Lonchura striata: one gene and its partners. The protein of the gene in region 2 purifies or fractionates together with the protein of the main gene of each other region. This does not show direct contact. Links are inferred from orthologs where the notes say so. Each region holds a gene or a part of one and is shown on either strand. Other genes may lie near its edges.

Region 1 (3,744 bases), on a different chromosome or scaffold from region 2:
ACACAATAGGAATGGCAGCTCTAGGGCTGCTGTAACATCAATTTACACAGGCCTAGACCAGAATAGGAATGGACTTTCAAAAGCTTGATTCCCAAAGGACACTCTCTGGTTTATTCAAGGACAGTAAAACTCTTCACTTCCCCCGAAGACTACGCTGGATAAAAACTTGTACCATCAGTAACAAAGTTGTTCCAAAACAAGAAAAATCGACCAATCTGCTCCTAAACTGCACTAACACTGCATTTTAGATATTTACAGCAAATGTTTTTTGAGTAAAGCCAGAAAATCAGCACCTTTACCACATTTTCAGGGGTAAGATATTGGCACATGTAAATCAATCCATAAAAGCAGTGAGAGGAGAGCCAGAAGACACAGTGGGGCTTTCCTGGGAGAGCAGTCACTACTATAAACACCCTTCCCTATAAACCACAAATGTTTATCACCCAAATGCTGCTGACACACAGGTTGGGGGGAAGGGTACAACATTTTTGTTTGCTTGTTTACACAAAGCTATTCCACAGATTATGCCTGGGAAAAAAAGGAAAAGGAAAACACTGCAAAATGTAATTACACTCAGCATTCAAATCAAGCACATTAAAACCAAGCCAGAAGGTAGATGCAGATGAAAAAAAATTAGAAAAAAAAGGAACATACTTAAAAATATAAAAGTTTCAAGGGTAGCTAGTCTATAATCCTAGAAATGTTTGTCCCTGCTTTTCATATAACAGGAAGCATAATAAGTGCATCAAAAAAACTAGTTTTTTAAGAAAAATAAAGGTCAGTACTCCATGTATGATGGGATTGCATGTGGGGGTAAAGGAATTTGGAAAACAATGCATGCCTAGTCTTCAATAGAATGTTGTTCCTTCAAGCATTTTTCTTACGAAGCATTAAAGTAGCAACAAGTAATTTAAATAATAGAGTCTAAACAATTACTTTCTGGGCATGACCTTTTTAAATTAAGGTTCAGAATTTATTTCTGAATCTGCTCAATTTCACCCATGCAAGCAATTCTACCAACCTTCATGAGACAATTTATGTATAGGAAGTTAAACACATATTTAAATGCCACAGATGAAGACATTTTACAGACATAAAGCTTTCCAATGCAATCTGTAATTTCACTTCACATACTCTGTCAGATTGATCATACCCTAAGCATCCTACTTGCTTTGTCTTCTTAAAAGCACATCTGGGTTTTCTGGTTGCTTGTTTTGATTTGGGTTCTCTTTACTTTGTCAGGGGAAATGTTCCAAACAGGAGAGAGACAAAAGGTCTTTATTTTTAAAATAAAATACTTCCTATTTCACACGGCTTGATTTTGACAGTACAATTAGGACAAACCTATTATCAAATGGAGTGGGAGAGGAAGCCAGGATGTAATTAATAGAATGATAATTGCAGAATAGTAAAATCCAAGACATCTTAGCAGAACTTTGTAAGATATTGCATCTTTAAACCCACAAATAAAATGATGTCTCTAAAAATTGTATTTCTTAAAAAAAAAAAAACATGATCTGAGTTTATTAGCTGCACTTTTCAAATGAACAGATATAGATGACACGCAATTGCTACTTCAAAGAATTACTCTGAGTAACAAACTTGAGTGTTGTTTGGTTTATGCATGGTCAAATAAATTAGGGAACATTCGACTGTTTAAAATATTGTTTATTAACAACATACATTCAAAGGATCGCTCTGAAATACGCAGCACAAACACAATCCAGTTGACGATCACTTCGTTTTCCAGTCAGTTTAAACACTCATTTGAGGTCTCTGCAGCAACAAAGCTGGTACCATAACGGAGAGTTACGTAACACAAACCACTCTCTCTCTGCCCACAAAACGCCAGCAGATAACACCACTTCCCTTTCCCCCCAGCAGGCAGGGCGCATCCCGAGGCTTTAGGAAGAGCACCCATTCCGTCCCCATTCGGCGTGCGGCGCTCCCCGGGGGCCGCGGCCCCGCTCAACAGGCGATGGGTGCGCAGCCAGACGGGGCAAAGCCGCCGCTCGCCGAGCGCAGCCTTTGTTCTGCCGGGGGGCGCGGCTGTCGCGCCGCGGCCGGCGGGACGCAGGTGGGGAGCGGCAGCCCCGGCGCTGCCCCGCGGCTCCGGCCGCCGGGCCCGGCACGGCCGCGGGCCCCGTTTGAACCTGCCCGCGCTCCCGGGAAGGAGCCGCAGCCGCTCCCGGCGGGCGGGGCTGCCCCGGCCGGTCGGTGCCGGAGCCCCGCCGCTTCCCCGTCGGGCAAGGGGGATTAACCCTTGGCTCGCCCCCTCCTCCCCCGGCCGGACGCGCGCCCCGTGCGCGCCGCAGTCTCCTCCTCCCGCGGCCCGGCCGGAGGCGGGCGGGGGCCGGGGCCGGGCAGGAGCGCGGGGAGCGGCCAGGCGCGGCGGGGCAGCGCTGCGCGCAGCCACACCTACCTGTCTTCTCGTGGTCATAGCCCACCACGATGAAGTAGTCGGCCAGCCTGGCCATGGCTGCGCGGGGCGCGGCTCGGCCTCACCACCCCAGCGGCTGCGGCGGCGGCTCGGGGCAGGCTCAGCATCCTCCGCTCCGCGCCCGCCGCAGGAGGAGCGGCACCACCTCAGCCATGTTGGAGGCGCGGGCACGCCGTGCGCCTGCGCGCCGCCCGGACCGCTCGCCGTGACCCCGGGGCTGGGCGGGGGCTGGGGCGGCCCGGCCCGGCCGTCCCGCAGTGCCGCTGCCCCGGCCCGACCGCCGTGCCGGGACGCCGCGCCGCCGCCGCGGCCTCCCTGCGCAGCCCCCGCGGGCGGGGAGGGCCCGGCGGGGGAGGTCCGCGCCCCGCCCGCGCGGGGCTTTGTCTCCCGGCAACCTCCCCCTGCGCGGCGGCCGCCCGGGGGCAGCGGGCGCGGGGCTCGTTCCCCTTACGACAGACGCTGGCGGCGGGTCGGAGCGCTCCGCGTGCCCGGGGAGACGCAAGCGTTTGAGCGGCGCTGCGCTCGCCGCTCCCGCGGGGAGCAGCCGGCGCCGGGCATCGCCCTCGCCGAGCCTCCGCGGAAATGGAAGCCGGCGGCGAGAGAACGGCGGCCCCGCCAGCCCGGCCTGGGGAATCGGGGATTGCGCTTCCAGAAGTGTCCCGGTCACGCTTTGTCCGGGGTGTGCGGGGGCAGCCGTGCCGCGGCCCCGCTCAGCTCCGTGGCGGTGCCGAGGGTCGGCACGGGTCCCCGGCCCGGCCCCGCTGCTCCCCGCGGGCGCTGCCCAGCGGCGCCTCGGCGTGACCCGCGGGACCTCGGACGTGCTGGCCCGGGCACGGGCGGCGGCCGCCGGGGCGCTCAGCGAGGCCGCGCCGGGAGCTGCCGCGGTGCTGTTTGTAACGTGCAGATGAGGCGGGCGCCTTTAGGACCGTGGCCCTCGAAAGCACAGTGGACTTTGCCAGCAGTCGCGGAGATGCTGAGGTTACACGCGCGGACAGTGCAGCGCTTGGGTCGCTGGCGGAGCCTGCAGAAACCACTCTGATAAGCGTCTATGTATGTCCCGTATGACAGCACAGAAGAGCCAGCGCAGAGGACATGGGTTGCGCTCCAGCGAGGAGCAGTCGTGGATGCTGGGCTGAGTGTGCAAGTGCAGCAAACTGGCTCCTGACGATCCACCCTGACCCAGCAAACAGTCCTTAGTGGTCTCAGAGACATTTCTGCTTCAAACACGCCGTTCTTACACCTCGTAGCTGGGACATGGTGATGCAGTGTCTTGCTGCTAAGCCAGATGCAAATTTGACAGGAAG
Region 2 (3,744 bases):
ATAATGCTCTTCAAGACACTTATTCAAATGTAAGCAGCCTTATGTGTAAGTAAACTCTATCAAGCATGTCTCCTTGAGGAGCTAGATCTTAAGTACCTCTAGAAATAATAATACTTCCGATCAGGAGCTAAGACGATCTAAAGAATGCACTGCTGTATGTATTTCATATCAGCACCTTTCCAAGTCTTCTAAATTTTGCATAAAACAATTCAGTAATTACAACTCAGTAAGGCTTCATATGGCTAGGTAATGGTGATGAGTGACCTTTGAGTCATTTTTTCTTTTTTGTTCCTTTTAAATAAAATGAATTATCAAAACTGATGACAGCATCCTCATGATTCATCGTGTCCCTCACATCATCCCCAAAGCTAACTTCTTCTTTTCAAACAAAATCATTTGGCGAAAATGTGTCACAGGTTACAATTTGAAGCTGGTCTTGCTGTTAGATCACAATCACAGAGATTAAAATTAGTATATTTCAATGCATACAAATAGTCCATTTAGCTTCAGAGAATTATTCTGATGTATAAAATCAAACTGCAATACAGCTTTAATGAAAAAAAAAAAAACCTGATGATAATCAATCTACTGTCCAATTCATAGAAAATTATTTATTTGTGCATATGCATCACTGGATTGGCAAGGGATGCTGATAATAAACATTCTGAAGGTCACCAGGCATCTCTCATTACAAGACTCTGGCTTTATATTCTTGTAATTCTGTGCTAACCTTGAGCCATTTCAACTAAAACGTTCCACAGCCAACACCAACTCAAGATGGGGGTATTTTTATTAATAATTACAGATTTAAAACATTAATCTATTTCAAGTATCTATACTTTGTTTGGAGTACATTAAACCTTCCCAACTGGCTAGCTTTCTTCTATGGTCTCTAGATGTTCAAGCAGAGACTCAAGATGCTGAAAGCTTTTGAATAAGCTTTTTTTACATCCCAAGGAATCTGTTAATAGTGTGGGCCTTTCCAGGGCTTGGAGGACACAGCCTTGTGCATGCTCAACAGCAACAGATTTATCATCTCAATTTCCCCACGGTTCCATCTGTGCAGGGCACGCTGCCGAGAGGCTCAACAGGAGCTTCCTTGTAGCCACTGGCTCTTCTGAGTTAAGCTCTCTTTAGTGTCCATAGGCCTCTTACAGTGAATGACCTCCAGATGGGTCCAAGTTGCCTGAGCTGATGTAAAGATAAAAAGAAGAACATACTGGGTCAGTTAGGTAAGGGGGAAAGAAGCCTGCAGGTTCTGGCATGGCACTAGTAGAACTGCACAAGGAAACCAGTACAGAGAGCAGCGAGTAGAATTTGATGAAGGGTGAAATGAGGGTCAGGAGTCACAAAGGACTCAAGAATGAAGAAACCTGAGTGCAAACAGGATGATGCCTGTCTGAGGAGCAGTTGGGTAATAGCCAAGGATGGGAGTTTTGAGATGCTGGCAACAAAGTGGCCACCAGCATCTTGGGCTCTAAGAACAGAGGCAGAGCCAGGAGATCCAGGGAAGGATTCCTCTCTACTCAGCTTTCAGCAGAGCATTTCTGGAATACTTCATCCAGGTACTAGCCCCACAGTCCAGGGAAGCTGCTAGGGAACTAGGGGGAGTACAGGGAAGCACCACTGGGATAGTGGGGCTGGAGCATCCTGCCTGTGTGGAGAGACAGCTTTAGGGGGAACAAAAATGCAGCCCCAGTGCTCGTGGAAGATACACAGGAGATGCTGATGGGCTGTCCCGAGAGTCTGTGTGCACTTCATCTTTGTAGGTTTTCAAGACCAAACTGGGTAAAAACCAGAAGTAGCCCCATCTGATCTTAAAGCTGTCTCTGGTATGAGCCAGAACTGGACTCGGGGATGCTGAGATTTCTTCAGCCTGAGTTATCCAGTGATCCTACGAATTGGGCAAGAGCAAGAGCAGCCAGAATGGGACTGAACGACCTTCAGCAGGCATCAGGATATCCTGCTCCCGGGGTCGACCACAACACCACGGCTTCCCACACCACCAGCCCTATCAGTCTCTCAGTACCTGCCCTTGCTACCCTACTGCAACCTTCTCCGTCAAACACAAGGCCCAAGCAGGATGTGCTTTCAGTCACTAAATTCAAATTTCACTGGTAGCTCAGGGACGGTGGGAAGAACACAAAAGTCTCCTTTTGGCTTCTATGATTTAAGGACCTTGAATATTACCCACATGGCATTACAAGCCATTCAGACCGCAAAGTCAGGCTCTCAGAAAAAACCATGACGGCAAAACCAGAGGCTGAACATGCCACAGGAAATTTGCTCCTGAAGAGGGCAAGGCCTGGCGCGGGCCCGGCAGCGTGCTGAAAGGCAGCTCCCATGCAGGTGCCGCGCCGCCCTTCCAGCACCGCTCACCTGTGCTGCCCTTCTCCCAGACCCAGGCACCAAGGGCAGGGGCACTGCTCTGCCTAGGCAGGGATTTGCCGAGAGCCGGGTGGAGGCAGCATCTCCTGCTCTGCTTAAAGCCCTGGAAGAGAGAGGCTGTGCCGCAGCCAAGCGGAGCCCACGCCTGCCTTCCTGCTCCGTCACCCCACGGCCACCCCCAGCGCAGGTACACCCCAGCAGGAGAGACCCGATCCCGGGTAAACGCAGGAGCCTGCTGCCCACGGAGGGAGCAAGCCGCACCAGCTCCATCCCGTCGGTTCCTTTTCCCGGCGGCCCCTCCCCGCTCTCCCTCTGCCCCCACGCCCCGCGGTGGTCCCCGGCTCGGCGGCGGGCGGTACCTGGACAGGGAATCGCCGCTGGGCGGCCGCGCCGCCGCCCGCCCGGCGCCCAGGCTCTCGCAGCTGGAGCTCCCCTCCATGGCGGGCGGCCCGCGGCGGGCGCTGCCCCGCGCCCCTCAGCGCCGCGGCCGGCGCCCGGCGGGCCGGGAGGCGGCCATGCTGGCCCGGCGTGCCGCGCGGGGGGCGGGCCGGGGCGGGGCCGGGGGCCGCGCCGCCGAGCCGCCGAGCCTGGCAGCGAGGGCGCGGAGTGCGCCGCGATCCCTCTTTCTGTCCTCCCGAGGGAAGGGGGCAGCTCCCGGGTTCCATCCCCGGAGCACGGTGGTCGTTCCTGAGAGCAAAGAAGTGGCCTCTCTCAAGCATCCTTCAGCTGCGTTAGGCTTTCCGGCTGGGCTGTGTACCCACAGTTGGAGCAGTTGTGCTCCTCACGTTTGCAATTGCCCCTGTCTGCTCGGGAATCCTCACCGAGGCTATCCCTCGGCTGGGTGGAGGGCGCTGCGGGAGGTGGCGGGTCACAGCCTCACCAGCGCGGCTGCCGGGCGCGGATCCTCTGTGGCGCTAGCCGGCGGAAAGCTCGGATGGAAAGCGTCCATGGCCATGCGTGTCCGGAGGACTTCGCAGGCACAGTTCCCTATCGAGTGCTCTGCAGGAAGAGCCATGCTGCGCCCAGTTCCTTGAAGCAATCGAAGAGCTCCCGCTCTTGGCATTGCTTACAAAGACTGAGGGACTGCATGTTAAGCCTCCCATATCAAGGGTGCAGATGTCTTTCAAATGTTTAGCTGTTTTGGCAAGAATCTCATGAGGCAAAAATAATGAACCGCTGGGGATGTATTAGGAGGCTGGTGGGTTTCCAGAATGGCCTGCTTGTTGGTAAAGAGCATCTTATGTCAGGAGAATCCATCCAGACGGACCTTCCTGTTTAAAAAATACCTCAAAATAGGATAAACTCTGTGTCTTCTAAACATTTGTATACTTTGTGGCTGTAGCATGGTTACTGAAA
Region 3 (3,744 bases), on a different chromosome or scaffold from region 2:
ACATCTGTGTGTGGTCACACCTGTATGGGGTCACATCTGTGTGTGGGGTCACATCTCAGTGTGTGGGGACACTTGTGTGTATGGTCACACCTGTATGGGGTCACATCTGTGTGTGGGGTTACACCTGTGTGGGGTCACATCTGTGTGTGGGGTCACATCTGTGTGGGGACACACCTCAGTGTGTGGGGACATATCTGTGTGTGGTCACACCTGTATGGGGTCACATCTGTGTGTGGGGTCACATCTCAGTGTGTGGGGACACTTGTGTGTATGGTCACACCTGTATGGGGTCACATCTGTGTGTGGGGTCACATCTGTGTGGGGTCACATCTGTGTGTGGGGTCACATCTCAGTGTGTGGGGACACTTGTGTGTATGGTCACACCTGTATGGGGTCACATCTGTGTGTGGGGTCACACCTGTATGGGGACACACCTGTGTGTAGGACACACCTGAGGGGGGTCACACCTGCGGGGGTCCTTTCCAGGGGGACTGTGTGGAATGAGGGTCACGGGAAACCTGTGGGCACTCTGCGGGCCGTGCACACCTGGGGGGGGTCTGTGCTCACGGGGGGTGTCCCCCCGCATCCGGAGGGTCCCCACACGCGTGTGCGTGAACACCTGAGGGGTCCCTGCACACCGGGGATGTCCCCGCACCCCGGGATGTCCCGATGTCCCCACACCGCCGGGATGTCCCCGCACCCCAGGATGTCCCCACACCTCCGGGGTGTCCCACACCCTGAGGATATCCCCACACACCCCCGGGAAGTCCCCGTGTCCCCCGGGATGTCCCCGTGTCCCCCCATTCCCGGACCCTCCGTTCCCCCCCTCCGGGGGACGTCTCGGCCCCGCCCCCTCCGCACCAGGCCCCGCCCCTCACCACAGGGCACCGCCCCCTTCGCGCCCGGCCCCGCCCTTCCCGTCTCGGCCAATGGGAAGGCGCGGCCCCGCCCGGCCGCAGCCAATGGGAGGCGCGGCCCCGCCCCCCCGGCGCGCGGCGCTGGCGCAGGCGCGGTGCGCGCGGGGCCAAGATGGCGGCGGCGGCGGGCGGTGGGCGCGGGCGGGCGGCGGCGGCGGCCTGAGGGGCCCTGAGGAGCCGAGCGCGGCCTCGCGGGGCTCCCGGGGCTCCCGGGGCCGGCCCGGGCCGCCCCCGCCGCCATGGCCCGCCTGGCTGACTACTTCGTGCTCGTGGGATACGACCCCGGCAAGCGCGGTGAGCGGCGGAGGGACGCGGGGGGGCCGGGCCCGCGCGGGCCGCTCCGGCCGGGGGCGCGGGGCCGGGGCTGTGGGGTGGGCGCGGGGCCGGGGGCGCGGGGCGGGCCCTGGCGGCGGTGCAGGGTGGTCCCGGAGCGGGGCCGAGGCTGCGGGGCCGTCGCCGGTGCCGGGCCGGGCAGCAGCGGGCAGTTCTCATCCCCCCGTGAAATCCCTTCCGAGCAGCCCCCGGGCGGTCCCGGCAGCCGGGGCCGGCCCTGCGCGGCTCACGCTGCACGGTTTGGGTGTTTTCGGTGTGTCGCCGCTCCGGGAACATGGGCTGGGCCGGGGGGCACCGCTGTGCTCCGACCGTGGCCCCCGGCCTGCTCCCGCTGCGCGTCCTCAGCTGCTGGCGTGGGATGTGGTGCTTCCAGGGGGCACCCACCGGCCCTGGGACGGGGTCTGTACCCCCGGCCCCCGGGACGGGGTCTGTACCCCCGGCCCCCGGGACGGGGTTTGTACCCCCAGCCCCCGGGACGGGGTCTGTACCCCCAGCCCCCGAGACGGGGTCTGTACCCCCGGCCCCCGGGACGGGGTTTGTACCCCCAGCCCCCGGGACGGGGTTTGTACCCCCGGCCCCCGGGACGGGGTTTGTACCCCCAGCCCCGTTCCCGGGCACCCCCAGCCCCGTTCTAGAGCAGCCCCTGGTGCCCTCCCTGCTCCCTCGGACGCTGCTGAGCCCCGGATCTGGCAGACAGCTCGCTCCCCTGGCCTCTCCCGCATCCCTGCTCGCCGTCAGGTGATGCTGTCGGATGTTTTGGTGGGGGATGTTCCGTGGTGGGGATTTAAGGTCTCTTCCCGTCGTGTTTCCTTCTGCCTCCCGCCCCCAGAGCTGTTGGGGAAAAGGAGCTTTGGCAGCGTCGCAGAGGAGGCGAAATGCCCTAAAATCAGGAAATCGGGGCTGCAGGGCCCCCCTGAGCGTCTCTGCCCTCTTGGCATGTCCCCAGGCTGTGCTGAGCTCGTTCCGAGCCTGTGCTGGCAGCTGGGGAAGGGGATTGCTGGTTTTGCTGCGGGTTTGGTCATCGGGGATGCTGCTGGGGCTCGGTTCGGGGCGGATCCCCGCCTGGAGCAGCTGGAGGAGGGCAGGAGGAGCGAGCTGGGTGTCGGGCATGCTGGAGAGCAGAGCTCTGCATCAGAGTTTGGTGTTTCCTGAGGGCTTTGTGGTCGTGTGCTGTCGGTTTGGTGTTTCATTGCTGTTCTTATTGCTGTTTCTGCAGGCGTGTTCCCCCGGTGTCCCCTTGGGCAGGAGCTGCTGTCCCACAGCTCACACCATGCTGGGGTGGGAGATGCAGGGGGGATTCCGGGATTCCATCTGGGAGCAGGCTCCACATCCTCTCAGGAGCTGTGCTGGGGGGGTGGTACCCCCTTTGTCCTGCCTCCGGGTGCTTCCTCCTGCATCTTCTTCCTCATCTCCTCCTGAGGATGCTGCAGCTGCGGCCTGCACCTTCAAACTGCTGCTGTGAGCGGGTTGGTGACGGGTGGGGATCAGGGACCTGGCATTCCCTGGGCCTGGTGTTCCTTGCTGTGACTTTCCCAGGGAACAGAAACGTCCCACGTGTGCCTGGGGTCATTTGGGATTTGTTTTGGGGAGAGGGATGATGCTGTGAGGTGGTGTGATTGGCTGTATTGGGACAGCCAAAAAGAGGAACAGGTTTAGGTGGGAGATTGGGAATGAGGAATTCCTGGCTGGGCTGGAATTGCCAGAGCAGCTGGGGCTGCCCCTGGATCCCTGGCAGTGCCCAAGGCCAGGCTGGACACTGGGGCTGGAGCAGCCTGGGACAGTGGGAGGTGTCCCTGCCATGGATCAGGATGAACTTTCTGGTCCCTTCCCACCCAAATCACGTCGTGATTCTGTGCCACTGGGAAGGGAAGAGCTCACATTTAACAAGTTATGTTCCTCTGGGGTAAATATTCACTTTATTTTGGGTTTGACTCACCTCTGCAGGGAGGGGATGGCTCCAGGATATTGTGGGGAGGTGGAACCAGGATGCTGTAGAGGGGAAAGATCCAGGATGCCCTGGGAAGGGGCAGCTCCAGGATCCCCTGCATGGGATGGATCCAGGATGCCCTGGGAAGGGACAGCTCCAGGACACCAGCCTGACCCCCCTGGCTGCTGGGATGGCCCAGTCAGATGTGACCTGTCCAGGTTGAGGCACCCAGGAGTTGTGGCCTCTCTGTGCCAGCCCGAGCAAACCCCTTCCCGTGCTGCTCTGGAGGTGTCCGAGCACTGTCCTGCGCCCTGTCCCCAGGGATGTGCCAGCCTGTCCCCAGGGATGTGCCAGCCTGTCCCCAGGGATGGACCGACACCGGTTCTGTGGTTTTTGGGATCAGCCTGGCAGCATTCCCGGCTCCCAGCTCTGTTTTCCCAGCCCCCTCCCTGCTTAGATAATGCTGGAGGAAGGGCAGCGGTGCTCATCTGCCAGTGACTAATTGCTGTACAGGTTGGGTTGCTCCGGCAGAGCCGTGGGCTGTGCCAGGCTGGGCTGTGCCAGGCT

What was found.
Region 1: the proteins of MTMR2 (region 2) and SBF2 purify together in Homo sapiens (affinity purification with mass spectrometry; 3 studies listed by BioGRID and IntAct, with this or other methods). This does not show direct contact. The link is inferred for Lonchura striata from reciprocal best matches to the Homo sapiens genes MTMR2 and SBF2.
Region 3: the proteins of MTMR2 (region 2) and SBF1 purify together in Homo sapiens (affinity purification with mass spectrometry; 6 studies listed by BioGRID and IntAct, with this or other methods). This does not show direct contact. The link is inferred for Lonchura striata from reciprocal best matches to the Homo sapiens genes MTMR2 and SBF1.

What each region holds. Positions count from the first base shown.
Region 1 is NC_134608.1:51,964,459-51,968,202, forward strand, and holds the start of SBF2 (myotubularin-related protein 13), read right to left. Parts: upstream 2,627-3,744; 5' UTR 2,478-2,626; coding exon 2,423-2,477; intron 1-2,422. UniProt on the Homo sapiens protein: Guanine nucleotide exchange factor (GEF) which activates RAB21 and possibly RAB28. Promotes the exchange of GDP to GTP, converting inactive GDP-bound Rab proteins into their active GTP-bound form.
Region 2 is NC_134604.1:39,953,475-39,957,218, forward strand, and holds the start of MTMR2 (phosphatidylinositol-3,5-bisphosphate 3-phosphatase MTMR2), read right to left. Parts: upstream 2,873-3,744; 5' UTR 2,828-2,872; coding exon 2,748-2,827; intron 1-2,747. UniProt on the Homo sapiens protein: Lipid phosphatase that specifically dephosphorylates the D-3 position of phosphatidylinositol 3-phosphate and phosphatidylinositol 3,5-bisphosphate, generating phosphatidylinositol and phosphatidylinositol 5-phosphate.
Region 3 is NC_134607.1:72,716,649-72,720,392, forward strand, and holds the start of SBF1 (myotubularin-related protein 5), read left to right. Parts: upstream 1-1,078; 5' UTR 1,079-1,156; coding exon 1,157-1,211; intron 1,212-3,744. UniProt on the Homo sapiens protein: Acts as an adapter for the phosphatase MTMR2 to regulate MTMR2 catalytic activity and subcellular location. Promotes the exchange of GDP to GTP, converting inactive GDP-bound Rab proteins into their active GTP-bound form.